Rattus norvegicus: one gene and its partners. The protein of the gene in region 4 interacts with the protein of the main gene of each other region in a pairwise test. Links are inferred from orthologs where the notes say so. Each region holds a gene or a part of one and is shown on either strand. Other genes may lie near its edges. The genes, in order: Nol12, Akap17a, Zfp366, Cep70, C10h1orf35, Rbm10 and Ttll10.

Region 1 (4,126 bases), on a different chromosome or scaffold from region 4:
GATCTCTACGCTAAGGAAATAACCCTCTCCACAGCTCTCTCCCCATTCCCCCTTGGCCCCCGAGGGGACACAGAAGCACAGGCTCACCGGATGCTCTCCACATAAGTTAAAGACTTACCTAGTGCCTCCTCTCTTTCTGCCAGCATCTTCAGGTACTCCTGGTGGCGCTGAAGCCAAATGGGAAAATGTGAAGGTGTTAACTGTTAACCTGACTAAATCTAAGATAGCCTGGGAAATGGGCCTCTGAGTACACTGTGGGATATTATCTTGATTTTGTTCACTGAGGTGAGAAGACCACTATGGGTGGTGCTATTCCCGGGCTGGGATCCTGGATTGCGTAAGTCAGAAAAGGGAGTTGCTCACTATAGGTGAGCCATTCCCGGTCTTTGTTAAGTGAGGAAAGGGAGTCAAGGGGCAGCATTTGTTTCATCACTCTGCTTCCCGACTGTGGGTGCAATGGGACCAGCTGACTCGAGCAGGCAGTGCTCTTAACAGTTGAGCCCAAGATTTCTCCAGCCCAAGATTTATTTATTTATTATATATAAGTACACTGCAGCTGTCTTCAGACACCAGAAGAGGGCATCAGATCTCATTACAGATGGTTGTGAGCCACCATGTGGTTGCTGGGAATTGAACTTGGCACCTCAGGAAGAGCAGTCAGTGCTCTTAACTGCTGAGCCATGTCTCTAGCCCAAACCTTTTCTCCCTTAAGCTGCCTTTTTTCAAGAGTTTTTTTTTTTTTTTTTTGTTTTTAATCACAGTCCCAGGAAAAGCCACTAAGACAGAAATAAACACACTGAGAACGGCCTTTCCATCCATGCCCTGTGACAGTCCCACGCACTTCACTGCCATCGTGTGGGACCATGGTTCACACAGCAAAGTCAAGGGGAGACCGTCCTTTACAGAGATCCTTAGCATCTCCACTTGTATGAAGAGCTCCCAGCACACTCACGCTGCTGTCCCACAGCTGACTCCAGCAGCCCTATTCAAGGCTGACCCTCCCTGGTAGCTGAGCCCCCACCCAGTCCATACCCCACCCTCAACCGCACCTCTTCCCGAAGCTTCTTCTGCTCTTGCTTAAGCCGCTGCTTTATCTCTTCAATGGCTGCCTTCTTGCGCTCTACCTTCCGCTTGTGGAAGCCTGTCAGGTATTCCCTGCAGGAAGGAAGCAGGGGAGAAGTGGGGGAAGTCAGGAGGGGCCACGGGAAAGCAGGGCTCTAGAGTGTTCCATGAGTTGTCAGGCTCTATCCTACCCACTAACCCACTTTACCCTTTCAACAGCCAGTCCTCACTTTATAGAGAGGGACTTGAGGAAGAGACTAGGGTACTTATCCAAGGTCACATACAATGCAGTTATTAGTCATTCAATGACAAGGGTACCTTAAGAGAAATAAGTTGGTAGTCCTTGCTGGACCATCAGAGTGTACTTATATAATCCTAGGAGGTATTAACCTACCGTACACCTATGCCAAGCTACAGTCTCAGTACATGCCCCATTACTAACCAAAACACCGTAACACAATGTGTGTCTTGACAAGGTCTCTCACCTACCTCACCTGGGCTTCCTGCCCCTAGGTAAGTACACACCAGGCTACGTGGTCAACATGTAGAGCAAGTAGTCACTATTTCTATACTGGCAAACTTTATCTCATAGGAGTCATTTCTAGTAAAGCTTTCTAATAATACCTTCACCCAGACCCCCAAAACTTTCACTGAACCAACCAACACCCTGTCCCCAATGACACCTGACTCCTGAACCCACCTGTGTGGCAGGACCTAGGAGTGCCCCCACCTTCCTGACTCTTGCTTCCTCTTCCTGTCTGATCTCTGCTCTGTTCCTGAGTTTGTTGTTGTACTGGAGGGTTAATTAAGTTTAGTACCTTGTTCGAGCTAGACAAATGGTCTAATAGATTAATTAGTTTATATTGACTTGGAGACAGGGACTCCATAAATTGTCCAAATACCCATTCTGTTCTTGAACTTTTCCAGACAGGGTTTGACTCTGCAATCCTCCTGCCTCAACATTCCGGGTGACTGAGGATTACAGGTCTGTACCACCATGCTTGGCAATTGTCTTTGGTACACTGCACCAGGGTTTTTGCAAACAGTGGTTCTCAACCTTCCCAATGCAATGACCTTTTAATAAAAGTTCCTTATGTTGTGGTGATCCCTAACCATAAAATTATTTTTGTTGCTACTTCATAACTGTAATTTTGCTACTGTTAAGAATCGTAAATGTAAATATCTTTTCCAATGGGTCTAAAGGGGTCGCGACCCACGGGTTGAGAACCACCGGACTACAAGGTGCCATTTATCCACGGTGACACTGAAACGCAGAGGTTCAGCCTCTGGTCTCAAGCTTGGTTGGCACACGGTCTGATGAGCGAATGAACATAAATCTCTCTCATCCCATTCGCTCGTCCTTCGTCGATTCGTCGACAACGACTGGGAGCCGGCTATATGCCGTGATAAAGGACGATGTTGGACTCGCGTGGTCCAAGGCATAGCCCTGAGAACCGTAAACCGCGAGTGAGGGGCAGAGCAGGAGACTTCACTCCACGGGAAAGGGGAACACGCTCTTCAGTCACATCCAGGGGCGGGACCGGAAGTGCCCTTTGCGAGGGCGTGTGCGCACCGGGACTGGCGCGCTAACCCCGGCAGCCGGACGGGAATCTGTTTCTACCCTGGCACTCACCGCCGCTTCTCTTCATCAAAGTTGAGGATGAGCCGGGGACGCCGGTCATCTCCATCTCTTTTTTTCTTCTTGTTGCGGCCCATAACAGTGAAGCTTCCGGCAGCGTGGCTGCTTCTGACCTAAAACACTTCCGGGCGGAGCCGTTTCATATTTCCGGTAGGGGCGCACGTCGTGGCCTTGTTCCAGAGTTCCACTGATTTGGCTCCACCTTTTAAAGGAGCCTCCCATCCTGTCTTAGCTTTGGTTCAGGTCTTCTGAGTAATTGTCCTAGAATGGCTCCAGTGAGCACTAGGTTCCTGATTCCATCATCTGCCCTGCCTCAAACAGACGCTCAATCTGGAGTTATTCATAAATGTCCAAGAATTACTGATTTTAATTGAATTCTGATGTCAACTCTTTTGTGATTTCTATGGTCGCGGGAAACTGCCTAGATCCAAACACTGGTACTCCTTTACAAAGTATGTGACTCAGGAGCAATTGCCGTAAAAAAACAAAAAAAAACCAAAAACATAAATTATGAGCTGGGCAAGGTGGCATATGTCTTGAATCCCAGCATTTGAGAGGCAGAGGCAGGGGATTCGAGGTCGGCCTACCCTACATAGTGAGTTCCAGGACAACCAGAGCAGAGCGACATAATAAAGAGACCTTGTCTATAAATAAATAAGATTAATAAAATACTGTGCCTGAGTGAGTTGTGTGCACCGCATGAGTAAGTGCCCAGAAGAGGGTATCGGATCCCCGGCAACTAGAGTTACAGATGGTGAGTCATGTGGGTTTTGGGAACCAAACCCTGGTCCTCTGCAAGAGAAGTTAGGGCTGTTAACCATTGAGTCATCTCTCCAGCCCCCAAATTACCATTTTCTTTGTGTCTCACTTTCCTATTTATAAAACACAGATCGCTGTAGTGACTTTGTAAGGTTATTGTAAAGAGGTGGCTCTAGAACTCTGGGCATGCACTAGAAGGCTTGCTGAAATCCAAATCAAGAACTTGGGGGTTCAGCACATTTGACAGGATCCCAGAATGTCTATTTCTAGCACATTCTCTTGTGGCCCTGAATATTGCTCCTGCGTGCAACAAACTGAGAGCCACGACCGTGGTGGGATAAGTGTGTTGTTAGGAGTGTGTCACACAATAGTCTGCCATACTCCGGTTTGGTGCACAAGCCGTATCCAGCTATGTGCCTCAGTATCCTCAAGTATGGAGAGGAAATTTAACAACACACCTTCTACTAACCACAAAAGTTTGAACGTGAAACCCGGGATAAAATAACACTGGGCAGGGGACTTTACTGACCCTGTTGTACAGACTTCCTCCCATTCTCAAGGCTATGTGCATCTGGTGACCCAGTCCTGTGTTGCAGCAGGACTGATGTCTTTGACTGTAGTCAGTTTTCATGATAGTCCTGGAGATGATGTGTCTGCAGCAAGAAG
Region 2 (3,961 bases), on a different chromosome or scaffold from region 4:
CACTTGAGGCCCTGCCCACCCATGCCCATACCACCTCTGACTGAGGCAACACTGTAATTCTGCTCTCCTCTGACTCTGCCCACCCATAAGGCCTGCTTACTTCAGCGCGGGCAAGCAGGGCAGCAATGAGCCGCACAGACTGCAGGTTGCGCTGGGCGAGCAGTAGCCGACGGGGCTCTGCACCTTCCTCTTCCTCACGCCCCAACACAGGCTGGGGCTCTGCCTCCTCCTCCTCCTCCTCCTCCTCTCGACGTCGGCCTCGTCTCTTCCGTGCTCGTTGCCGTGCCTCTCTGCGCCGAAGCTTCTCCTCCCGACGCCGTGCCCGTTGTTGCTGCTCTGCCTCCCGCTGCTTCCTGGGTGGTTGGGGGTGGGTGGGTGATGTCACTGGGCGTGACATCGTGTGATGCAATCGGGTTTGGCGTCACTAGATATGACGTCATTCAAGCAACGTCATCAAATGATTTCATCCCAGGCTGAAGGTGATGTGATAGGGGGCGACATCATAGGGATTGACATCATCGAATGACTTTGCCCCAGACAGGAAATGAGTGTGGGATAAATGAGTGTGGGTTTGCAACTACTGAATGAGTGACAGGTGGGAGGGACCAGGAGTGTAACAAAGAGAAAGTGAGGGGTGGTGATGTCACTCTGTCATTCATATGGGTGACATTCTTATTAACACATTTAACATGAGATCATACCATGATATATGATATTGCATCCTAGTGACATCACCCCAATGATGTCATATGGTATGATGTCATGCAACACAAAGTCATTTGGGATGATGTCACCTGGTGATGTCATCCGAGTGATATCGGCCAGCAATACCATTCAGCATGACCTCATACAAGACCTGATGATGTCACACAGCATGATGTCATCAGAGTAAGCTCATCAGGGCGGTGTCATTATCAACAATGTCATGTGAGTGATATAATCCAAATGATTTCCCAGTGACATCATCCCATTGATCCACCCACCAGTCACCCTGCCTCAGACTGGCTCACCGCTGGCCTGCCCGCCGCCGCGCCTCATCCTCACGCTCCTTCCGCTTCTGCTCTTCACGCCGCTGCTCAAGTTCCTGTAGTTTCTGCCGCTCCAGCTGCCGGCGTCTGATCGAAGCCTCGCTCAGGTGCTGTGTGGCATCTGATGTCACCTGCAGGTGAAGGAGCACAGGGGAGTGAAGAGGACGTGTGGTCACATCACAATGCCGCCCTGTGATGTCATGTGGGTGACCTTTGATCTCCACACTACCCCGCCCCCTTTGACCCCTGTGACATCATTGAAACCATCATGATGTCATGGACCCCACCCCTCATCTCAGGCACTGCACTTTTCCCGAGGAACCACCCACCTGTCCACATGCAAGCGCCAAGGAGTTCCATGTGTCATTTACATCTGGTGCCCCGCCCCTACTCTGTCAGTCATAGCTTAGTCTCCGCCCACAAGATGTCAATCCACTCCAGGTCCCGCCAAACCCCTCACCTTGATGCCGCAGGCCACAGCTTTGCCGTCCGTGCCCCTAAACATGAGCTTAGCACCACGCAGGGCAGCCATGGCACGGGCGTAGGCATCACGCTCTCGGTACTGAACGTAGGCCTCGAAGCGGAGCCGCCCGCCCCCGCCCCCGCCATGGCTGCCGTCCTCACCAAGGTAAGGGTCCAGCATGGGAATGTCCACATGGCGGATCTCACCAAACGCCCCGAAAGCCTGGCGCAGGAGAGCCTCGCTGGGCCTCTCTGCTGAGGCAATGCCACCAGGGGAAGAAATGCCTCCAGCCTCATCCCCGCCACTGCCCCCACGGGGCGCAAACCAGCGGCAGGGCAGGCCCTGAAGGTGGATGGTGTCATGAGGGTGGGCGGGGTCATCCGTGGGTGGGGGCGTGGCCTCAGCGGCGCTTACACGCAGGCCATGGGGGAGGCCGCTGAGCATCATAGTCTTGCCGTCCAGGCCAGCGAGTGCGGGACGCACAAGCGCCCGGTTCTCGACCTCGCCCTCAAAGCGCACGACCTCAGGGCCGCCCCGGGCCAGGCGCAGTGATGACAGCGGCGCTCGTGCCCCCTGTGCCATCGCCCGCAGTCCCTCCATCACCTCCCAGTTTGACACTGCACGACTTGGCGCACGCGGGGGTGGGGACGTCGAGGAAGGCGAAGGGGGCGGAGCTGGGGGCGGAGGGGGCAGCGACACCGAGATTGTCACCCGCGCGATTGGCTTCAGGTACAGGCCCAGCGCCGGGCACAGGGGCACCGCCTCCGAGGGGTCGTGCACGATGGTGGCTGAGGACATGGCCAGCAAGTCTGGGGGAGCGGGGATGGTGCAGTGATATCAGTATGTAGTGATGCTCATGGTGACGTCACAACATCTGAAACACGCACACAAGGTCATGACATCAGAGAACCTTAGGATGAGAACACAGCTAAGGCTATGCTCACCTGACTCCATTATGGCCAAGGAACCAAACCCCGCCCCTCCTCTCAAATAAAGCCAAGCCTCTGCCCCAGGCTCCGCCCCAGTCCTACATTTCTCCTGCTAGGGCCCCATCCTATTTCCTAGCCGGAAAACTCCGCGGAAGCAGCAGAAACAGGTCAGACCCAGTCCACGCGAGCCCGGAGTGTTCTCCGCTCACCTCCTCTAAGCTCCACCCCTGTGCTCCGCAGCGGCCTCGTCACTCTGCCCCGTTACCCTTCGTAGCCATTCCCGGGGCTCCCGTGACGCACCTTAGCTTCCGGTGCCCAGACTCTAGTCCTCGCCACCGTCTAAGGCCTTTTGGTAAAGTCCCCGCAGGCGTTTCGTTCACGGCCGCTGACAACTGATTTTCGTAGTTTAAATGGCCACTTCCGGTCCCGGTCACCTCTGATCCGGGATACCGGAAACAGGGATCACCAGCAGAATCAGCGGCACTCAGCGCGCACGCGCAGGTTTTTGCTCTCGCTCCCAGACACAGGAGGTTGCGGCTCCTTGGTCAACAGGGCGATAATCCTGTGACCAAGGCGCTCACCGGTGACGTCAAATACGATCGACTCCCTCCCGTTTCCTCCGTGGAGACAACGTCTGTCAGCCGCTTTCAACCGCCCTCCTGTGGCGGGAAAGCGGAGGAGCACAAAGGGAACTTCCGGCACCGCTCACCTCTGACCCCCGCCTCAAGAAACAGCAACAGCAGCAGGGCGCGCATGCGTAGACGCTCTTCCGCCCTCCCAGTTCCCTTTTGCGCTTAGGCTCCGTGACAGTGGCCTGCGGGGTCAGCACTGGTGACCCCTTCGTCGCCTTCGCTCGGATGTCACAACAAAGCAACTAGGCTCAGCAAAGAGCAGACTCTGTCCGCTATGCGTGAGGTCATAAACTATGCGACTCGTCGTCAGCCAGCGCGGCCCGCGTAGCGCGGCGGGCAATCCCGTGATTCCTAGCGTATCCATGTGTGTGACGTCCGCCCTGGCGCGACCCCCGTGGCAGTGACAGTGCATCCGGGTCGTCCTTTCCCGGTTTTGACGGAGGCGACAGGGGGCGGGACTTCCGGAATTGATTCCCAGGGCTCTGCGTGGTTCTAGGGCAAGTTCCGGCTCAGATTTTCTTTAAACGGACTTGAAAAGGGGCGGGACTTCCGCCTGTCATACTGATTTTTACTAGTATCTAATACCGCATACGCCCTCTTGCCTGCGCTTTTCCTAAATTTCGCAAGCCAAGAGGGAGGGGCGGGGCCTGGGCGAATTCCGGAAATTGCGCAAAAACGCCACCATTCACGTAACACGAAGGGTGGTGCCTGGGCTGCGGAGTCCTCCAGTGATATCGGTCAGGTCTGGTAACCCCGCGCGACTCTGGCCCCCATGGCACTGAAGCCGCTCGCCCCGCTCCTGCGCGGTTACCACGTGGTCCTGGCGAGCGCTTCGCCAAGGCGGAGGGAGATCCTCGACCTGGCGGTGCGCTTTCCGTTTGCCGGGTCACTGACAGGGAGGGAACCGGA
Region 3 (3,500 bases), on a different chromosome or scaffold from region 4:
CCAGTTGATGAACTTGGCTCGGTGAGAGCATCTATCTCAAAAACATTACATGGGGAGTAAGAGCAGACACCTGAAGTTGGCCTCTGGCCTCTGTGTGCACACATGAGCATTTTGCACACTTAAGCAAACATGCACAAAATAAAAAAAAACCAACTAAATAAATAAAACAAACAAACAAAGCTCTGGGTGCTGGAGCTGCTGTTCTGAGAGACTGGATCATATCTCGGTGTTTTCACTTTCAGTCAGCTGCAGACCCCAGCACCCTTGAGAATCAGTAACACTGAGTTGCGAACCACCACAAAGCAAGCATCTGGTGTCTGCCCAGGTGTCCACCAAAAGCACACTTGTTTAATTAACTATTTGAGGAAAACAACAGGTTCTTTTTCCCATTGGAACTTCATTTTCCGTTACCTTGCCAAATCCATAAGGTCTAAAATCAGTAACCTTTGACCTCCATCCCCATACATACACAGGAACCCCCTGAACTAAGCCAGCAGTGCCTTTGTGGCCAAATCTGAGTCCAAGTCCTCTGTCGATGGTTCCCGCACTTGTCGGCCAGTCCCACCCCCCCAACCCCCATTCCCCTTAGATGTTCTATGAGTGCCTTTTGTCCATCAGGAAGTACATCTCTGCTACAGAGCCAGAGAGCACTGTGTTTTGTCCTGACTGAATGAAGGAAAGCCAGCAGAGTGGGGCTGCAGCTGGCCTCAGCTGGCCAGCCCTCTGATGACCCATGGAAATAAAGGATGTTTTAAAGACTCTGCTCTGCTCTTGCCAAGAAAACTACTGAGGTCAAGGGTAAGACCAGAGGTCAGTAGAGGCAAAAGTCCTCTCTTGGCAGGTCACAGCAGACCTAAGTAAAAGCTTATTTGAGTAAGATCTCAAGATGCAGCTCTGGGCTCGCCCTATTCCTGTGGTGCACTCCACATCGCTAGTTACAAAGAATCTTGTATTTGCATTGCTCCCGGAAGATCTGAGCCCAGAGAAGTTAAAACCCAGCAGAGAAGGGTGCTTCCTCCCGCTTCCCACAAAGATACCACAGACTAGTGAACCCAAGCGGACAGGGAAGAGCAGGCCCCGGAGACTACGCTAAACTCTGCTCCAACTTATAGCCACCCGAAGGAAGCAAGTGTCACAGCAGGGCCAGCCAACGAACCAGAAATAGGCCCTGCTGCTGCTGCTGGAAAGGGCTCTTAGAGAATTCTCTAGAAAGAGGGTTTCTTTGGTATAGCCCAGGCACGGTGAATGATGATCTGTGTCTGATCACATGCGTTTTGTTGTTGTCGTTTTTGTTTTTCACTAGTGCCCTAAAAGAAGTTTCTGGAAACAAAATGCTAGGGCTCTTGAGGGCTAAGCAGAAATATCACAGCACCCAGCTGCTTCCTTCATCCTTCCTCACTGTCCTCTCCAAGAGTCTGCATTGGTAATTTCCAGTCCCACCTTAGGCGCTAACTCTATTCTGGGAAAGGGCTTAATTGATTGCGTACTGGCACATCTTTCACTGTTTGTTCCGTGAGGTGGGAAAGGGCTTTGGGGGCTCAGGTTAGGCGAGCATATTAGCCAGTCACAGAGCTCTCTGCATTTTAGATAGGAACAGGATCATAGACCCACCCCAACCAGCTCTGTTCCTTTCCTGGTGACACAGCAGACCACCCCTGGTTGCCACCCCGTTTCCCCCTCCTCCACTTCCCATACCTTGTGGGTGAGTGAATGTTGCTTGAGGTGATGGGGTTGCACGAACTCCATGCCGCACTCGGAGCAGATGTAGGGACGGATGTCCTTATGCTTCATCATGTGATTCTGAAGCTGGCTTGGGTACTGGAAGGTCTTGTCGCACTCTGAGCAGTTGTACTGGATGGGGCCCCGATGCGTAGTGAGGTGCCTTTTCAGCTGAGCCAGGGTGGGGAAGTCGAGGCCGCACTCCACGCAAATGTTCTCGCGCCCGCTGGCGTGTTTGGCCTCGTGGGCCTTGAGCTCGCTGGGGTAGGCAAAGCCCCGACTGCAAACGCGACAGTTGTGCGGCTTCACCTCGCTGTGCTGCATCATGTGACGCTTCAGGTGGCTGGTCTGGGTGAAGGCCTTGTGGCACACCTGGCATTTGTGGGGCCGAGTGCCCTGGTGTGTCAGCATGTGGGTGTGCAGATGGCTGAGCTGCTTGAAGAGCTTCCCACAACGGGAGCACGCGTGCGGCTTGATCCCACTGTGGCCAAGGATGTGGGTCACCAGGTTATACTTGGAAGTGTAGGACTTGTCACAGGTGGGGCACTGCCAGCGCTTCTGAGCCCCGCCCACATCCACGTAGTAGCTGTCATCAATCTGGACGTTCACATCCACCCTCTCCACCTTCTGTTTGGTCTCCTCGCTCTCCAGGGGCTCCACTTTGCGGGGTAACACTGGCTCGGGGGGCTGCTTAGGCAGAAAGGTGTGCCTGCTGAAGGGGAAGGGTGAGGACGAGGGCATGAAGAAGGGAAACATGAGTCCAGGGTGGACTTTGGGGTAGTAGGGGTAAGGCGCAGGCAGGAAGGCAGGAGGCGTGGGCTGGGGCCACATGGCGCTGGGTTTCACCGGCTCCTGCTTGACTGGTTTGCCCCCCAGGTGCTCCAGGGTGCGATAGAACTGCAAGCCCACATTGCACAGGTCGATCATCTGGGAGTCACACTTGGGATGCTGTGGCTGCGGAAAAAGCAGAGCGAGGTTTGGAGGACCCAAGCTCTTGCTCTCCTGAGCGATGGTGGCTTCTTCTGCAGAGTGATTGTAAGGCACCTTGGTGGGCATGCTCTTCCGTTTCCGGGACCCTCCTCCCTCGAAGACCTCCGGGAATCCATCAAGGTCTCCTGGAGAAGGTTCATACCGAAACTGTGAAAAGGGGCCCCGGAGGGCTTCCGGGAAGGGGTGTCTTTGGGGAGCCTTCCCTCGGGAAGCCTCGGGCTGTAGGCAGTGGGGAAAGGAAGGGATGCTTTTCGCAGCAGCGTTGAGGGGGCCATCCTCGTCTTTGACCATCTTCATCACCTTCTGCATCCTCTGCAGCTTCTCTTTAAAGAGAAAGAAAACTTTTGTGAGGTTTTGCTTTGCCTTGTTTCTGATCTTCTTTTCTGAACTTAAAGAGGTTTTGGATAGGGATCAGTACTAACTTATAAAAAGTATTATTATATTGACCCTCTGAGTTCTTTTAAATTCACCTGCTAATGTGGTGCTACCCATCTGAGGGCCTATTGTGAACTACAGAGCCATAGAATTTCAGTATCATAGGGGCTGGGAGTGGGTTTGTTCTGACAGAAACCTGAAAGTTTATCTGTCCCTCGTGTATCTCCCTCTCCTTCCTTCTGTTTAAAGCGAGGGTCCTAAGGCCCCTGAGGATGAAATGATGTGTTCATACAGCACAGCTACTCAGTGGGGGGTGGGGGTGGAGGTGGGGGTGGGGGTGGGGGGTCAGAACCAGGATGCAGACTGCAGCAGTTCTCATCTGAGTTGGAATTACCACTCATTGGTGTTTTAAATGT
Region 4 (4,250 bases):
GAAACCAGCCAACCTTGAGGCATCTCTGGAGTCTTCCACTACAACCCTTCTTTAATAATTTATTATGTGTCCAATCTACGAATAAAAGCAAATAATGAAGAGAAAGCTACTATGAAGTCTTCCTCTTGGGGAACTGTAGAGGGATTTTTTTTTTTTTTTGGTCTTTTTTTTTTCGGAGCTGGGGACCGAACCCAGGGCCTTGTGCTTCCTAGGCAAGCGCTCTACCACTGAGCTAAATCCCCAGCCCCTATAGAGGGATTTTAATTCAGCATCATGGCTGTTCTGGCTGGAATACAGACATGCCCTTCACGCCTTCAATCCCAAACAATGAGGGTAAAGTTAGTTTGTTGAAGAAAGCATCGGTGTTTGAAAGTGATGTCTAATTAAGTGGCAGACAAAATGACAAATCAGAGAAAGATTTGGCAGAACAGGATACGCCCAACTCATGAGGAGAGAGAGGAAAGGGAAGCTACCTGAAGGGCAGTGCAGTGAGAGGGGGAGGCAGTTTTGCTGGGACAGTTGTACAGAGACAGGGTGGAGAGAGAGAGCAGGTTAGACACATCTGAAGACAGAATGAGACAGAGAGGGAGAAGGAGGCAGAAGATTAGAATATATTGCCAAAGTTAGTATGAGGCCAAGCAGAAGCTGGGAGAAGCCAGACTGAATCAGTCAGCTTGGAGAGGAGTTTGAGTCAGAACAGCTGAGGTGACCAGCCAGCCAGAGTTCAGAAAGAGCTAGACAGGGTGAGCTTATTCAGCAGTAAGTCTCAGAGGCTGAAAACATTCCAGGCCTAGATAGGATTGTACAGAGGCTAGAAGCTTCCAGGACTAGGCCCAGGTTAGCAGAAGGAGGCAGCAGTAAGACTCGGAGATGCCAATTACATTAGGAGAATAAAAGTCGCTTTTCCAGGGAACCTTTCATTTCAAGGTCAGGTACAAAGCTCTCTCAGCAGAATTTCTGGAGCACAATTTGCTCAGGAATTCAGTCATATCATTTCCAAGATCTATTAACCTAATCAATAGGTTGTTTCCTCTTGTCAACACTGTCTTCTCTCCCAGACTGCACTTGCTTATCGCGTAGAAACTTTATCCATTATATTCATCCCAAAGTTGGAACAACCTGACATTATCATCAAGCTACAGAAGTAAGCTGTAAGATGGGGCCCACTCGGGCTCCTATCACAAAAATGTCTTTTGACTACATAATTTCCAAACCACAGAAATGTGTTGCTTTCTGTTCTGGCTGAGAAGTCCAAAATCAAGGTGTCAGAAGATGAAGAATCTAGAGAGGGATTGCTTTGCTCACCTAAGATAGCACCTTTTTCCTGCACCCTTATGAAACCAAGGAAAACCTGAACAAATTCTTCACACTTAACCTGTGTCACCTGCTCTTAATTCCAGACTAAACCCTCTAGACTTAACCTACTTCACGTACTCCTAGTGGCTCGATTTTAGCTGGTTTTTAAAACCACCAATTTCAGAGCTGACATTGGGGGTCGTTGTTAAAGTTTGGTCTTGAACACTTAAACCAATTACTTCCTAATTCTTGATCACTTTTCTCCATGCTCCCAGTCCATAAATATTCCTAACTCCCCGTCTTCTTTGTGAGGGCAATCTTCACTGTCAGCTTGACTGGATTGAGAAATGTCTAGTGCTTTAGTGAAGCAATCCTCAGTGTGATGATGTTTCCAGAGCAGATCGAGAGGACTCTGACCTAATAAACGGAATACTCCCTTGATGATTCACAGTATATCAGGGTTTTATCAGGACGGGGTGAAAGGTCATAAATGGAGCCAAGTCAGGGGAAGTGGGTTACTGGGAGCATGTTCTTCCTCTGGCTTCTTCCTGTACCCTCTTTCCTCTGCCTTCAGTCCATCATGCCTGCTCTGCTTTCTGGGATCACGGTGTGAAGTGGCCCATCCACCGTGCTGACCCTGCCGTGGGCAGACTGGCACCTCTGGAATTCTGAGCCCAAATCAAAAGTCCCTCCTGTAAGTCGTTTGAATCATTTTGGTCATTAACACAGTGCAAGAGACTAGCATATTCTGGTATATTTTGAACCGATTTTTGTGTGTCTGGGTTTTGTTTTTGTTTTGTTTTTGTTTGTTTGCTTGTTTGTTTTTAACTAACCAACATAGCCACCTTACAGGAGCAGTGAGTGGTCCCCAGAGAGTAGGCCCAACAACAGAACAGACATAGGTGAAGCGACTGAGGGCTTCTAGGGGCCCAGCAGATTCGAGGACCATGGTGATTTGAATACTGGGGTTCTTTGAAATGTTGTATGTTGAAACCTGATTTCTAACACAAGTGTTAAGAGGTGGAGACTTTAGGAGGTAATTAGGTCATGGGGACTCTGCCTACATGAGTGGGATCATTGTCTTTATCGGAGAGATGTGACAGAATCCATTTGCATCCATCCAACCCGGTGGATGTTTTGGAATAAGCTCCTCTGCCTGCCTCAAAATATGCCCATCACCCAAATGAGTTTTGTCAAGGGAATGAGTCTAGAGGTAGCCGTGTATGGAGAGGGGAGAGCAAATTTTATGTCTGCCTCCCGTATGTATCAGGGTCCACCTTAGGGAGTTTGGGTCTTAAAAGAAGTGAAAGAAAAGCTCTGGAGAATTGCAAGTCTGAGGTCTGTCTGGGTTACAGAGTGAGCTTAAGGCCAATTTGGGAAATTTATGAAGCTTCGAACACCGGCTCAGTCTCAGTATCACAAGGGAGAGAAAAGGACAGGGATGCCGGACAGTGGTTTTAGAGAACCAATGTCAGGAGCAGATTTACCTTCCACAGGTTTCAGAGCAGCAAGGTCGTGGGGTTTTGTTTCCCCAAGTTCACTCCAGCAACGGAGCCAGGCACCCAGAGAGGACTGACGGCTCATAGCAACGTTTGTTGTTGGGCGTTGCTCACAGGGCAGGACTTGATGATGTCTGGGTACAGGCTGAGGAAGGCTTGTTCGGAGAACAAAGGCATCAGGTTAGACAGCTACACAGGTAGGGCCGGGAAAGCAGGGCAGCAGATCGTAGACCGTACTGTTCTGCGCGCATGCTCCCAGAGCTCCCAGTCCCCAAGCTTGGTGCAGGAGCAAAACTTTGCAGTCTAAAGAATCAGACCCAGCACGCTGCTTTGCAAGATGGTCGGTCCATAGGCCATAATTGCACAGGTGAGACCAGAGCCCAGGTTGGGGAGCAGGGGACAGCCTGAAGCCACCCATCTCTATAGTGGCCACGTCCAGACCTCAGTAGTATCTAACCAGGCAACTTGCCTCCCTGTGGTTTCATGTTATGCTACCCAAGAGACTCTGGCAGTGGACATTAATGCTTTGACTCTCCCTACCACACCTCTGTCAACGTGCCCCACCCATTAGTTTCTGTTGGTCCGCTTCCTTTTCCCAAACAGTCCCTGCTTTCGTGCCTTGTTTGTTGTTGTTGTGATGGTGGTGGTGAAGGCTCTGTTTTACTTTGGGTGTTGTTGTTGTTGTTGGTGGTGGTGGTGGTGGTGGTGGTGGGTTGTCTTTTTTTTTTTTTTTTAGATTCAACATGAAAGACAGCTTATAACATCGCTGTTTCTGGGTGTGCTTTCTTGGCCTCCACATGTTGGTTTTCAGTTCTGTCTATTGTCCAACAAACAGCATGTTTCATTCTTCTTTGTGGGTAAATAATACTCCATTGTGTTTATATAGCCTTCATTTTCTTTACCTATTTATGTGTTAATGGGCACGTGGGCATATTCCATATCTTGACTATTGCACAAACAAAACATGGGTGTTCTAGGAGTTAGATTCCTTCAGTTATACAATTATCCATATTCATATGGTGGATATTTTTTAGGGTATTTCTAGGGTATTTTTAGGCACCCCTATACTGATGTTCATGGTGGCCGCATCGCCTTACACTACCAACAACAGTTACTTTCCTTTCTCCCTGTTCTCCCCATACCCCCTCCTTTCCTCCTCCTCTCCCTCCTTTCACCACTCGTTCCCTCTCTCTCTCTCTCTCTCTCTACCTCTCTCCCTCTCTCTCAGCTAGTCTTACTCTGTAACCTGATTGGCTAGAGAGAGATGTAAAGGTGTCTCCACTGTGTCTGGCCCTGTTAAACTGTTTTAGATCTGGTCTTTTGATGGCTGCCCACTCCTTTCCCCAGCTATTGATTGTGTTATCCGATCCTTGGGAATTTCTTATTGAAAACCTGAGATAGCCTGGACAGTAGTCCTCAGTTGGGTGAAGTCTAATAAGCATGTCTCTCCAGTCT
Region 5 (4,015 bases), on a different chromosome or scaffold from region 4:
CTTTGGGGTCTACCCAGAAGTGTACACTACCAGCATAATAGCTTTTACAATCAGAACAACTTGCTATATTGTAGCAACCCTAATTTCTACTGTCTGCCAGCATGTGCACACAGGCTCTATAAAATTGCTGGCTACTGGAGCTCTTAGCAGACAGCAGATACATTCAAATTTACAAGTTTGTTCTTCCAACTTCTTGGTCACTTGTATGCTTGTAAGGCAGCCTCAAGGACAGGATTCTGGTCCCTAGACCCAGTGCCCTCAGGTATACTGAATGGTGAGGTGTGGGGGGGAGGGGTAGGCTCCCAGCATAACCTGTCCTCAGTGAGATAATACACTCTACTTTTAAAATACATTTACTTAAGTACAAAGTGGGCTGATACAAAAAAAAGTAGAAGTAATCAGTAACACACACCCCAAAACCTCAAGGGCCTGGACTATGGCGGCAGACAGTCTCCTGGGCAATTGTGGGTGGGTGGGGAGACAAGGGGAGAGCATTACCCTCATAGAACCACTAGGCTCTCTGGTAACCCAGGGCCCACTCTGACCCGGAGTGGTTGCCTCCAATTGGCAGGATAGATCCTAAGATCCAGCAAGCATGGCTCAGGATGCTATTAGGGAGCAGCCCTGCCTTATCCCAGATAGGGATGAGATAGTTAGCAAGTAGGAGTGGGCTGGTAGCCACTTGGCATCAGTGATAGACCCCACAGAGCTCAGAGTTGGGCAGAGCAGCCAGGCCTCTGGTGTCCTTTGGTGTAGCCACATTCTCAGTCATCAGAACTTCTGTCTTGTCGTCTGTGGGATGGGTTCCTTCCACTGTCCTGGCTATGTTCCCGCTTCCTCTTATAGCAGGGAGAGAAGTCAGAATGTCTCTGGCGTCTGGGCCTAGGAAGACAGGGACACTTGAAGGGTCCATCACCCTGCTAAGCATCACTCAAGCCCTGGCCAGCTTTGCGCCCCACCCCCTTCCTTAGTGACCCAGATAGAGTTGGGCCTAGCCTACCGGGCAGGAGAGGGAGAAGATGAGCAGCTGTCAGCCTCCCTCTTGTGTTCTTTGTCTTTCTTCTTTTTGTGTTTCTTATGTTTCTTCTTCTTTTTCTTCTTTTCTTTCTTGCTTTTCTTATGGCTCTCTGCACTGCAAGAAACAATACAAAGGGTCTAAGCCTGAAGAACTAGAGTCACTCCACTGTGGGGTAGTCTCACCCAGTAGGGAAAGACAGAATAGGGCAGGGTCCATACCTTAGCATTGCACACTGGTCGTTTCTACACATTGTGAGTTTATATTTGTAAATGAGCTTAATATTTGGCTCCACAGCAGCAAGGGTGAATGCTGGCATGCTACCAACCTGGTGGGCCTTCTCTCTGTCTCTCTCTGCAGCCTTGTCAAGCTCGGAACTCACTATTTTACCTACATACAAAGCTGACATGGCACAAAAGTAGAAGTAACCTGACACACATACAGTTAAATCCCAAGGCCTGGAACCAGCTTATGAGAGATCAGCCTGCTTCTGTCTACCAGAAAGAAAGATGTGTGCCACTACCAAAGCCAACTTATACTTTTAACTACTACACCCCCCACCAAACTGGCTAGCATCATGGTCCTGAGTGTCACCCTCCTGTTTGTACCCATTATCCTGCTGGATTGCCTGTGGCAGCTACTGAGACTCAGCCGGGAGATGGAGGCCCACCTACTTCAGTAAACTAAGAGACCTAAGGCAGTGCTTTGCCCCTTTATGCGTGCACAGGAAGTCAGACTCAACTTACTCCAGTTCAGCCTTGTCTTCAGCACGGGGCTTCTTCCTGGTAGCAGATGGGGCAGTACTTGGGCCTTCGCTGTCCACACGGTGGTGCTGTATAAGAGTAGCTGTGGTGAGGGACACTCCGGGAATCCTGCCCCACATCTCAGACACCCCCAAACCCCAAGATCCTGGGCATTAGGGTTGACAGGGTTTACCGTGAACACTGACAGCCCAAGTTTGGCAGCCTCTTTGTCTTCTCGGGATAGTGCCACACGGCCCGCGGAGCCACTGCAGGGGACAGAGCATTTGAGGACAGTTCTGAATCACCGCCCAGTCCTGCCCTAGACTCCCCAACTGGCCGCACCTGGCGCTGCCCAGACCCAGCAGCCGGTCCACACCCTTCTCCTCAGGATCTCCTCCTTCCCGTTTGCAGATCTCCACGAAGTCCTGCGGAAGACAGGAGGTTCTAGGCCGGGACAGACGGACCCCCAGCCACCCTGCGAACCTTGAACCCCTATCTCAGACTCACCTCCTTGCTCAGGCCGGTGGGCTGTTTCCTCACGTTCTTGTAACCACTGCGAACGAGGGGCGGGAATGCTCAGCAAAGGTCTAGTCCCTCCTTTGCCTTCCTCGTGTGCCCCGCCCACATCCAACCCCGCCCCCAGGGTCACCCAGACCCCGCCCCCGGCGCGTGCGGTCGCCCCGCAGCCCAAGCACTTACAGTGCGGCCAGCAGCGCCTCACGCTCCGCCTCACGCACGGCTGCCAATTCTTCTTCACGGCTCGGGCCGGTACACGGCGCGCGGTCCTTCGCGTACCAGGTGAGGTCGCGGCCCTTCTGCCAGCGGCCTACTGGTGCCATCAGCGAGTTGCCCAGGTAGTTCTCCCTCTGCTTGTCAGTCTTCACATCTTCCCAATTGAACTGGTCTTGCCCGCCACGCACGCCGCCGCGACTGGAGCCGAACATGGTGCTGGAGCCGCTGCACCTTCTTCAGTATCTACGGTCTGGAGTCGGACTCCCCGCAGCACTCGGCCTCCGGACGCTCGCCGTGACGTCACTCTCCCGCCCCCCGCGCGCGCCTGCGCTCTAACTAACGTTCCTGTGCGCCTGCGCACTGCGTATCCCGGACCGACTCCATCTTTCCAAAGGGCGTTCATTGCTTCACCCACAGGCACATCCTTCGTCCTATTGCGCAGTACCTCTTCAAAAAGGCAACCGTGCTATCACACCTGATAACGCTTGTGTTAGGCATCTCCGTGGAGTGGGACACCACAACACCTTAGTGACACCAGGAGGGGCTGTCCGCTTGTTTCCTGGAAAGCCAAGCGTGCTAACTCCAAAGGCCTGAGGTCCAGGTCACTGTTGAAACTAAGTTAAGTAATGGCAAAACTTCACCGAACACTGAGGAGCAGATAAAGTCGCCAAAGGAACATAGATCAACTCTTCCGTGCTCTGAGTGACAGCGTGCATGGCATTACAGTAAGCTAAATACCACAAGTCGAAGCATCCCTAAACCAGAGCGATCTGTGTACTCCGCAGGTGAAGCTTTACCCGGCAGTTCACTGAGGCCTTGCCTCAAAATGAACAGAAACGGATTTAATGATAGATCACTCGCCTAACATGTAGAAGGTTTTGGGTTCCATCCCTAGTCTGATAAATTACCCAACCTGGAACACTCTAGCATCCCAAATAGACCAAGACAATCTCATTTTTGTTTTCATTCTGAACACAAGTTGGGTACCTGTCAGCAGCCTGTGAGGCTCCTGGTATAAGCCCTGAGATCAAGTCCTGGTTTTAGAGGAAATATCTGGATTCAGATCCCTCAGAACAAGATCATACTAGGGATGAATGGATGGTCCCAAGGGGAGCTGCACAATACATATCCTTTATTTGCCTAATGTAATTGTCATCTCCAAAGCTTACTGCCTTTGTCTGCTAACCTAGGCCTAGTCCTGGAAGCTTCTAGCCTCTGTACAATCTTGCTTTGATTGGCAGAGCTTACAACCCTTGACCATGTAGCTTCAAATGCTCTTCCCAAGCTTGGAGTGAGTGATGAGAGCCAGACAGCTGAGTTTGTGGCTGGGGTCCTTTGGCATCTTGGGCTTGATGGCCTGAGGCTTGGCAGGGGCCTTTTTTTTTTTTTTTGGTTCTTTTTTTTCCCGGAGCTGGGGACCGAACCCAGGGCCTTGCGCTTCCTAGGTAAGCGCTCTACCACTGAGCTAAATCCCCAGCCCCGGCAGGGGCCTTAATGGCCTCTGAGCATGCACTCTCTGCCTCTG
Region 6 (3,500 bases), on a different chromosome or scaffold from region 4:
AGAAACTGGAATTGAAACAGGGACCCCCAAGGTACACGGGGGTGGGGTGGGCTAGGGGGATACTGTGAAACAGGGACCCCCAAGGTATAAGAGGGGTGGGGGCAGGGAGATGGGGGGAGCTGTGAGGGAGCTTAGGTGGGGCTCTGACCTCTTAGAGCCCTTGGCAAACTCCACGTTGATGGTCTTGCCATCGATGGTGAGCGGAGGGTGTAGGGCCTGAAGGATCTGTAGCAGCTGGGCTGCTTCCTATGGGTGGAGAGGTGGCAGGGACCGAAGGGTCAGGCCCGGGGAGGCCCCCCGGCTCCATTGCCCCATTTCCAGACTGGGACCGCGGTGAGGGTGGGGTAAAGGTCCCCCCTCCCTACCCTGGGGGCCGGGACCATGGTTGCCCGGCCCCCCCCCTGTGCCGCCCTCACCACGATGGTGGAGAGCTGGATGAAGGCGAAGCCTCGGTTCAGCTGGGTCTGCTTGTCCTTGATAACACGAACATTGGAAGAGGACAGCACCGCATAGGGTGCTAGGGCCCCGAGGATGGAATCCATAGTGCTGTGTGGGTTCAGGTTGCGTAAAATAATGGCTGTGGGAAAGGGTCCAGTGTTAGGAAGCACCTCTGATAGTCTGTTCAGGCCTACTTAGAGATCCCTGTTGCTTCCTGTTCTCTTGTTTCTGTACTCATGTACCCTTTGCTTCCTCTCACTCTTCCTCTTGAATAAACTCTGCTTGTCAGCCCAGGTGTCAGCAGTCTCTCAACTACAGGAACCCTCTCAAATAGCCCTAAAATCAGTGTGTGGACAGTTCCTCCCTCTGCTCTCTCTCTCTAGCATATATCTATCCCCACACCAGGTACAAACACTCTCCCTCAATAAGGATCAAGCACTGTTCATTACCATTTCTTTGGCCTCAGAGGTCCCATACCAGATGCCCTAGGGTATAAAGGAAGGGGGAAAGAACAACTGACTCACTGTCATTGGCATTCTCGGAGCTTGGCTCTGAGCCCTGTGACAAGGCTTGCGAGGTCAGCACTCCCTGGGCCTGGTAGGGCTGCGGCAGTGGGAGTAGGCCCTGGCTTAGCTCCCGCCCACCCAACGGTAGTGCCTGCTGATCCAGTCGAGTGCCAAGGGGTAGCTTCTGCTCTGCTTCTGTCAGGAATGGTGGGAGATATGCTGATGACAAAGGTGGAGGATGCACGGCTGGTCATACTCCCCAGCCCTCACTGGCCTTCATGCCTCTTGCCACTCCCATGTAGTAGCTCACCTGATTTGGGCACACCGCATTTGAAGCACTTCTCTCGGCGCTTGAAGTTCTGGACACCACACTGTGAGGCATAGGCCAGGGGGAGTTAACAACATAATAATCTCGAGGAAGGGAACTTTGAAGGTCAGGGGTGGCACAAGTTTTGGAACTTTATTATCTTCGATCCTATAAACCTCTGACAACTGGTTCCCAGCACCAACCTTCCTTCTTCAGCAATCAGCAATTTTCACATGCTATAGCAGTTGCCTCCCTTCTCTATCTATCTTCTTGGGACTATCAACTCTCAGCATGTTATCTCACAGTCCCTTCTTCCTGAGACTGCTTACCTACCAGAAACTTTCACTGTTTCCTAAGGAAAACCAGCCTCTTTTAGTCAGATTCATTTCCTTCCTTATTGCTAGGCCTAGGCTGAATTCTGCTACTTTCAGCTTTTTTCTTCTTAGACATTCCAGCTACCAAAGACCTTGTTCAGCTTCCATGACATTCTATCTCTGTTCCAGTCAGTTACTAAGCACTACTACTGTGTCAGGCCCAACAACATATGTTCAGGGCAGTCTGTTTCAACTGCACTGACAGGAGTTAGGGGCAGAGAATGGGTTGAAAAGGCCACAGCTTATTGAGCTGGGCTTCATAGAAGCAGGGAGGTTAGAGCTGGGAAATCCAGAGGTTTAGTCTTGCTCGGAGGGACTAAGAGACTTTCTATAGCTGGGGGTGGTGGTGGTGGGGAGGGGCATGTAGAGAGAGAAAAACCAAGGCTGGCAAGAGAAGACGGTGACAGTTAAAGGAGAGACTTATGCTAAAAACTAGTAATTTTAGGCAGAGAATGTAAGGGACAGTCAGAGCTACAAGTAAAGGTGGAGAAAGGGGTGAGGCTAACATAACAAAAGGGCTCTGTGGGAACTAGATGGGAGGGTTAGGAATTGGCAAGAACTCTAAGAATAGCAAAGGAAAGTGACTATTCTGAAATGCAAGTGACAGGATCTGGTAACTGAAAGACATGTAGAACGAAAAGGAGAACACAAAGCAAACACCAGCTTCAAGGAAAATATGAAAAAAGATAAAGTATCAGTATCATTTTGTCCTTCTCCCTCCAGAAAGGCTGAGCACCTATATAAAGATGACAGATACCACTCTCCCACTAACCAGACTCATCAGGGAGAACACAGGGTCCTCCACTAGCTTTCAGCTTTCCTCAGACTATAGATAGGGCTGGGGAGATGGCTCAGCGGTTAAGAGCACCAACTGCTCTTCCAGAGGTCCTGAGTTCAAATCCCAGCAACCACATGGTGGCTCACAACCATCTGTAATGGGATCCGATCCCCTCTTCAGTGTACTTATATATAATAAATGAATAAATCTTTAAAAAAAAAGACTATAGATAGCCCCAGGAGATGGGGCTGTAGAATCACAATGCTGACCTCAGGGCAGACCTAAGGCCACCTAAGGAAGGAGGTGGCCCTGTGAGCTAAAAGCTCATGCATGGTTCCACCTGAGCCTTCGTTTCATTTTTAGGGAATATGGTGATGATGAGACAACCTGCAGGGACCTTCTGTATCAAGGCTGAGTTACCCTCAGAACATTCTGCTTCTTTTCAAAGGTAACGGCAACCACTTACAGACTTGAATGTGGGCCAGAAGGCTTTTTATGTGTTACTTTCCCATCCACATTTCATTCTCTCAACACCTAATTAGCGTTTACTCACTTAGGATGAGAAAAGTGATATAGGGATAGGAAAAGCACCTTGACCAGCATCAAGGCAGACCTGAGACAGTCTACAAGCACCATGGCTCTGAAGCCCATGTCCTATACAATGTGTGTGTCTTGTGCTGTCACTTATGCTATTATTTCTTTCAATTCAATTGGAGCTTTAGGCAAGGCTGTGTTTGATGAGGACAGAGCCTAAATGACTGGGGTTAGATAGCCTGTCTCCAAGACTACACTTTCTCTGACTGAATAAGCTGTTGCTGCTGCTGGAGCTGACTTTCTCCCCAGCACTGGTTACCCATCCACCCCTGTACCTTATTACACAGCCAGTCCTCATTGATCTTGGGCTTGGGGTCGCTGTAATGCATGGATACCTTCTGGCCCAGGATGTTGAGGGAATGCTGTGGGAAAAAGCAGAACACAGTAAGACCTAGGTAGCAGTGCCCCACATACCGTTTCAGCAAAGGAGAAAAGAGTGAGCGAGCCCTTCAGCTGGATGGATGAGGGACAGGGAATGAAGGGAGTTTGGAGAACTGATGGAG
Region 7 (4,300 bases), on a different chromosome or scaffold from region 4:
CTGCAGTCCCACTGTACTACTAGTCTAGAGCAGAGAGGTCTCTTAAACCAGCACTGGACTGACCCCAGCACAGCATAGGAAGGGCAGATCAATGACGGTAAGCAGTCCCACAAATAGAGAGTGACAGCCTTGGGGCACCCTATCCCATTAGGACTCTGGGCACAGCTGAGAGATGGTGCTCTTCTAGACCAGCCGAGCACAAGCTCCCACACTGGCAGCTTAGAGTAGGGAAGAGACCTCAAGGGAAGAGCCACATGAGTGACTGGGTATGCCCAGTTTCTAAGGGGATTCAAGAGCCCCTTAAGATGGGCAGAACCACAAAAGAACCTGAAGGTGGGGAGATTTAGAAGGTAGCTGAAAACAACAGTTGTTTTCCAGAATTTCCAAGATATTCCCCCAAGGCCCTTGGTGGGAGTCCTCATATGTCCTCATAGTTCACAGGTCCTGTGTCTTACAGCCACATACTCTTATCTCTGCTCCCCTCTGAGGTCATCAGTCACTGGGTTTAGAGTACACCTGGTTGATGCAAGATGACTGCACCTAAGATCCTAACTCAGCCACACCTGTACAGATCTCTATTTTTGAAAAGGCACGGTCATGGACTCCAGGACTCATGATATGGTCCTGAGTTTCGGAAGCACCGTGTAGTCCCTGTCAAGGTCTTGTGATGCTTACAAGGCCCTGAAAGATGACAGGGATGTGGAGTCCATGTGGCTGGAAACTCGAGGTCAGAAGCAAGGAGTCACACCAGGTCCCAAGTTTCCCCAACAGGAAACTACAAATTGGCATCAAACCCACTTTGAGCCGTGCTTGGTGTCAGATCCTAGATCTTTAGGTCTGGATTAAGGAAGTCCCTGTGAATACTCAAAAATCATCTTGGAAGAGTTCATGGAAGGATGGAGGAAGTGGGCTATGCCCCAGATTCAGATGGGGTGGGGGTGTATACAAGACCCTTACTCAGCCACAGCATCCCGTCAGCCTCCTCAGATCAATTTGACCCCCATTCTCCACCACTTGCTTTGCCCAACTTCTGTAAGGCTGCCCCTCAGCTCACACAATGGCCCCTTTCACCATCCACCTAAAACTCTTGTTTACCTTTGGGCAGCTGCTGAATCATAGTTCCCTAGTAATAGTTGCCTGGAGACGGTTGTCAGGTCACCACTGTTGTATCCCAGCAAAGGATTCCTAAGACCTTGCAGAGCAGGTAAGAGAGACTTGCTGGTTACCAGCTGAGGGTCCTGACTAGGACTGAGGCTGAGTCCTTGCTCTCCTGAGCCTTATTTTTTGACCCTTTCTGGTAGTAGATAAACAGGAGAGAGGACTGGGCAGCTTGGCTGAGCTAAGCCTTCTGCTAAGGCCACTCTCCAAACCCCAGTGTTTTGGCCAAGAAAGGCGTGTTTGGGGGAGGGGTGGGATTGGTCCACGTGGGCAACTCAAATTTTGGGGAGGGTTGGGATTCCTTAGAAGAAGCTTTTTGCCTAGAGCCATGTCTGTCTCCCCCAGAACTGACCCCCCAGAAGGGCCACCTGAGATCCACAGAGAACGCATCCCCAGACAGTGAGCGCTGCTTGGGAGGCACCAGCCCTTCAAAAAAAAAAATGTCAGCACCTTCTCAGAGCCCTGTGTTGTCAAACGTGTGTGTGTGTCTGGAGAAAACTTGAGCAGACCACTGACGTGGTCATTTTCTCGGCCATCTTCTTCAGGTTTAAACGCATCTCCTGCTCGTACCGGGGTGTGATTTCCTGCCAGTCTTTATATCTGAACAGGTAAAATTGTTTATTTTACTGTAAGACTTCCTTTCTGGATCCTGGGTCTTGTCCTCAGAGAGACCCTGAAACATGCTTTCTAGATAATTTTTGAGGGAGGGTTTCATGAAGCTCAAGCTGGTTGTCAACTTAGGTGGTGAAAGATGACCATGACTTTCTGATCCTCCTCAAGTACGGGGTTTGTAACTGTGCAGCACATTACTGTTTCATGTGGTTCAGGGAGTCAGATCTTGGGTTTCATATATGCTGTGCAGTGCTGTATCAACTGACCTACATCATGAGCCCTTGCTATGATCTTTGTTTCACAGGGCCTCTCTACGTAGCCTAGGCTAGCTTCAAACTTTCGTCAATCTCCTGTTTTCTGCCTCCCAAGTGCTGGGATTACAGGCTTGTGTCACCACACCTAGCCTAGTTTTAGTAAATATGAATGACAAGAAATAGTTATTCATAGCTGAATTCAGTGTTAAAATAACAAGAATGGGAAGCTAAGAGAATGATCAGCAGAAATCTCTCTCTCTCTCTCTCTCTCTCTCTCTCTCTCTCACACACACACACACACACACACACACACACACACACACACACACCTACACTCCTGCCCAGTTCTAAAGCTCCAATCAGCCTCCAGGCACTCCTGGATTCTTCCATTTTTGCAGCCTGTCCTCTACAGAGGTCTGAGTTTCTCGTTCCAGGATTTCTCTCCATCCTACAGAACTTTTTGGATTTTTTTTTCTTTTCCTGTTGATTTGGTGGGGGCAGAATGCAGAACTGCTAGACATACGTAATGCCTGAATGGCTTGACTCTCCAATGGTTGCTGTTATTTGGCCTTTCTTTGCTGTCAGTCGATCCACAGACCTGCCTTCCTCCTCAGAGCTGACCTGCTCCTGTCCAAAGGCCTCAACCTTTCTTTCCCTTCTCAGTCACGCTGCCTTCTCTTCACTCACCCCACCCAACAACTTGGGTTTATTTCCTTGATGTGAGGCACGAACTTTTGACTAGGAATTAATTTAAAATGCCCTAAAATGTTTCAAAGATGTTAAATAGAGGAAAAGGACAGTATCTGGAGCAGGGGTGCTAAGGGACGAAGAGTTGATGGTAGACAGGTTGTGTTATGAGCACTTAGGTAGCCATAAACTGATAGGACCTTTGGGGCTTGGAGCCTCTTTGACCTTCAAGTGTGCAGATACACACCCTACCAGCAGCAAGGCTGATGGGCAACCTCTTTGCAGCAGACACAGAGGCCACACTCATCGAGGCCAGGACAGTCTTGGCCGAAGAAAACTCACTAGGCAGAGGCGGGATGCAAAGATGCCCTTACACCCACCGGCCAGAAGGCCTCACGGCCATCGCAGAAATGGAAGTGAGGCACAAACAGAAGCTACAACCCAGGATACAGGGAGGCTTTCTTGCCCAAGAAGGGTGGGTGCAGCGGTCTGTCCCATCCAAGGGCTGGGACATCGGGCTGCTCGAAGACCCCGAAGGGGTGTAGGGACTACATCTGCCTCAAGGGCTCCACGTCCTGGTGCCCTTATGCCTGCAACGCGCAACCGTCCAAGATTCATCCACTACCGGGTTCAACCCCCTCGGACCCATGTCAGCTTCAAGAGACCCAAACGGTCCAGGACCCATCAATCCCACACTAAGGTGCCAGGTGAATACAGAGGGGCTCTGGGACTGGTTACACATACTCTCAAGTCAGGGCCTCCAGGGAATGCATCTCAGAGGAAAGAGATTAGGCTCATACTAGACCAGGCCCAGCCAGCCAACCAAGCAGGCTCTGAGAGAAGTTAACAAGGGTCCACATACTAGGGACACTATGCTCAAGAATCTGCAAGCTTTACCTGTCCGTGCCATCACAGTGGGCACTCACTACCTCAAACCCATTTAGTGCAGTTTCTCATCTCTCCTGGTTGACCATAGACTCTTGAGTCACCCATGATGTCATCATAGACATTGTGACCCCTGCCCTCTGGAGACATCCCCACATCATGTTTGTATGGGCTCCTGTCTCACACTCTAGCCCACTCCCTGCATGGAGCCTTTCCTACTGGTAAGGAGGGTGCAGGTGGGGCCACCCTCTTCACTCCCAATGTAGTCTCCACACGACACGTGGGCTCTGCCCGACTTAAGGCTGATGATGTCTCCTTTCTTGGGTGTAATGACCCTCAGGCCTCCTGGTCAGGTCTGTGTTGGGCTGAAGAAAAGTCCAGAGGGGCCGGGTTAGTTCCCAGCAGCTGCTGGCATTGGCTGGGCTCAGGCAGATTGAATGGGTACCTGCCCTTTCCCCACCTGACACCACTGGTCTCCAGGCTGGACCCATGAGAAACGGATGGGGAGCAGTGTCGAGGAAGGGCTCCGGCCTGAGCTAAGTCAGCTGGAACAAGATGCAGGTGGGGCTTCTGGCAGCTGGGAGGGGCAGGAAAACCCTACTGAGTCAGAAACCCCAGGGCCTCTGATCATCCCACCTACCCACAGACAACCTAGGGGAAGAAGAAGCTGCCAGGCTCCCGGTGACTTCCCTGAATGGGCTCCT

The links.
Region 1: the proteins of Cep70 (region 4) and Nol12 interact in binary tests that used the Homo sapiens proteins (3 or more experiments, as listed by UniProt). The two-hybrid records come from large-scale screens. The link is inferred for Rattus norvegicus from reciprocal best matches to the Homo sapiens genes CEP70 and NOL12.
Region 2: the proteins of Cep70 (region 4) and Akap17a interact in binary tests that used the Homo sapiens proteins (3 or more experiments, as listed by UniProt). The two-hybrid records come from large-scale screens. The link is inferred for Rattus norvegicus from reciprocal best matches to the Homo sapiens genes CEP70 and AKAP17A.
Region 3: the proteins of Cep70 (region 4) and Zfp366 interact in binary tests that used the Homo sapiens proteins (3 or more experiments, as listed by UniProt). The link is inferred for Rattus norvegicus from reciprocal best matches to the Homo sapiens genes CEP70 and ZNF366.
Region 5: the proteins of Cep70 (region 4) and C10h1orf35 interact in binary tests that used the Homo sapiens proteins (3 or more experiments, as listed by UniProt). The two-hybrid records come from large-scale screens. The link is inferred for Rattus norvegicus from reciprocal best matches to the Homo sapiens genes CEP70 and C1orf35.
Region 6: the proteins of Cep70 (region 4) and Rbm10 interact in binary tests that used the Homo sapiens proteins (3 or more experiments, as listed by UniProt). The two-hybrid records come from large-scale screens. The link is inferred for Rattus norvegicus from reciprocal best matches to the Homo sapiens genes CEP70 and RBM10.
Region 7: the proteins of Cep70 (region 4) and Ttll10 interact in binary tests that used the Homo sapiens proteins (3 or more experiments, as listed by UniProt). The two-hybrid records come from large-scale screens. The link is inferred for Rattus norvegicus from reciprocal best matches to the Homo sapiens genes CEP70 and TTLL10.

What each region holds. Positions count from the first base shown.
Region 1 is NC_086025.1:112,372,423-112,376,548, reverse strand, and holds the start of Nol12 (nucleolar protein 12), read right to left. Parts: upstream 2,801-4,126; 5' UTR 2,779-2,800; coding exon 2,696-2,778; intron 2,593-2,695; exon of another isoform or gene 2,506-2,592; coding exon of another isoform or gene 2,309-2,505; intron 1,856-2,308; coding exon of another isoform or gene 1,763-1,855; intron 1,464-1,762; coding exon of another isoform or gene 1,457-1,463; intron 1,156-1,456; coding exon 1,050-1,155; intron 168-1,049; coding exon 119-167; intron 1-118. UniProt on the Homo sapiens protein: Multifunctional RNA binding protein that plays a role in RNA metabolism and DNA maintenance. Participates in the resolution of DNA stress and the maintenance of genome integrity by localizing to sites of DNA insults.
Region 2 is NC_086030.1:21,425,448-21,429,408, forward strand, and holds the start of Akap17a (A-kinase anchor protein 17A), read right to left. Parts: upstream 2,801-3,961; 5' UTR 2,721-2,800; exon of another isoform or gene 2,630-2,720; intron 2,366-2,629; 5' UTR 2,290-2,365; coding exon 1,489-2,289; intron 1,160-1,488; coding exon 1,011-1,159; intron 354-1,010; coding exon 101-353; intron 1-100. Other genes in the region: Asmtl (N-acetylserotonin O-methyltransferase-like protein), read left to right, coding at 3,825-3,917. UniProt on the Homo sapiens protein: Splice factor regulating alternative splice site selection for certain mRNA precursors. Mediates regulation of pre-mRNA splicing in a PKA-dependent manner.
Region 3 is NC_086020.1:32,354,212-32,357,711, reverse strand, and holds part of Zfp366 (zinc finger protein 366), read right to left. Parts: intron 3,033-3,500; 5' UTR 3,019-3,032; coding exon 1,696-3,018; intron 1-1,695. UniProt on the Homo sapiens protein: Has transcriptional repression activity. Acts as a corepressor of ESR1; the function seems to involve CTBP1 and histone deacetylases.
Region 4 is NC_086026.1:108,688,257-108,692,506, reverse strand, and holds the start of Cep70 (centrosomal protein of 70 kDa), read right to left. Parts: upstream 2,801-4,250; 5' UTR 2,784-2,800; intron 1-2,783.
Region 5 is NC_086028.1:44,493,170-44,497,184, reverse strand, and holds C10h1orf35 (multiple myeloma tumor-associated protein 2 homolog), read right to left. Parts: upstream 2,801-4,015; 5' UTR 2,703-2,800; coding exon 2,458-2,702; intron 2,312-2,457; coding exon 2,266-2,311; intron 2,184-2,265; coding exon 2,101-2,183; intron 2,025-2,100; coding exon 1,952-2,024; intron 1,848-1,951; coding exon 1,762-1,847; intron 1,133-1,761; coding exon 1,001-1,132; intron 883-1,000; coding exon 765-882; 3' UTR 338-764; downstream 1-337.
Region 6 is NC_086039.1:4,098,525-4,102,024, forward strand, and holds part of Rbm10 (RNA-binding protein 10), read right to left. Parts: intron 3,360-3,500; coding exon 3,273-3,359; intron 1,316-3,272; coding exon 1,255-1,315; intron 1,140-1,254; coding exon 963-1,139; intron 578-962; coding exon 417-577; intron 247-416; coding exon 149-246; intron 1-148. UniProt on the Homo sapiens protein: Binds to ssRNA containing the consensus sequence 5'-AGGUAA-3'. May be involved in post-transcriptional processing, most probably in mRNA splicing. Binds to RNA homopolymers, with a preference for poly(G) and poly(U) and little for poly(A).
Region 7 is NC_086023.1:171,923,538-171,927,837, reverse strand, and holds the start of Ttll10 (protein polyglycylase TTLL10), read left to right. Parts: upstream 1-1,500; 5' UTR 1,501-1,598; coding exon 1,599-1,600; intron 1,601-1,703; coding exon 1,704-1,766; intron 1,767-2,996; coding exon 2,997-3,418; intron 3,419-3,494; exon of another isoform or gene 3,495-3,817; intron 3,818-4,076; coding exon 4,077-4,157; intron 4,158-4,242; coding exon 4,243-4,300. UniProt on the Homo sapiens protein: Inactive polyglycylase.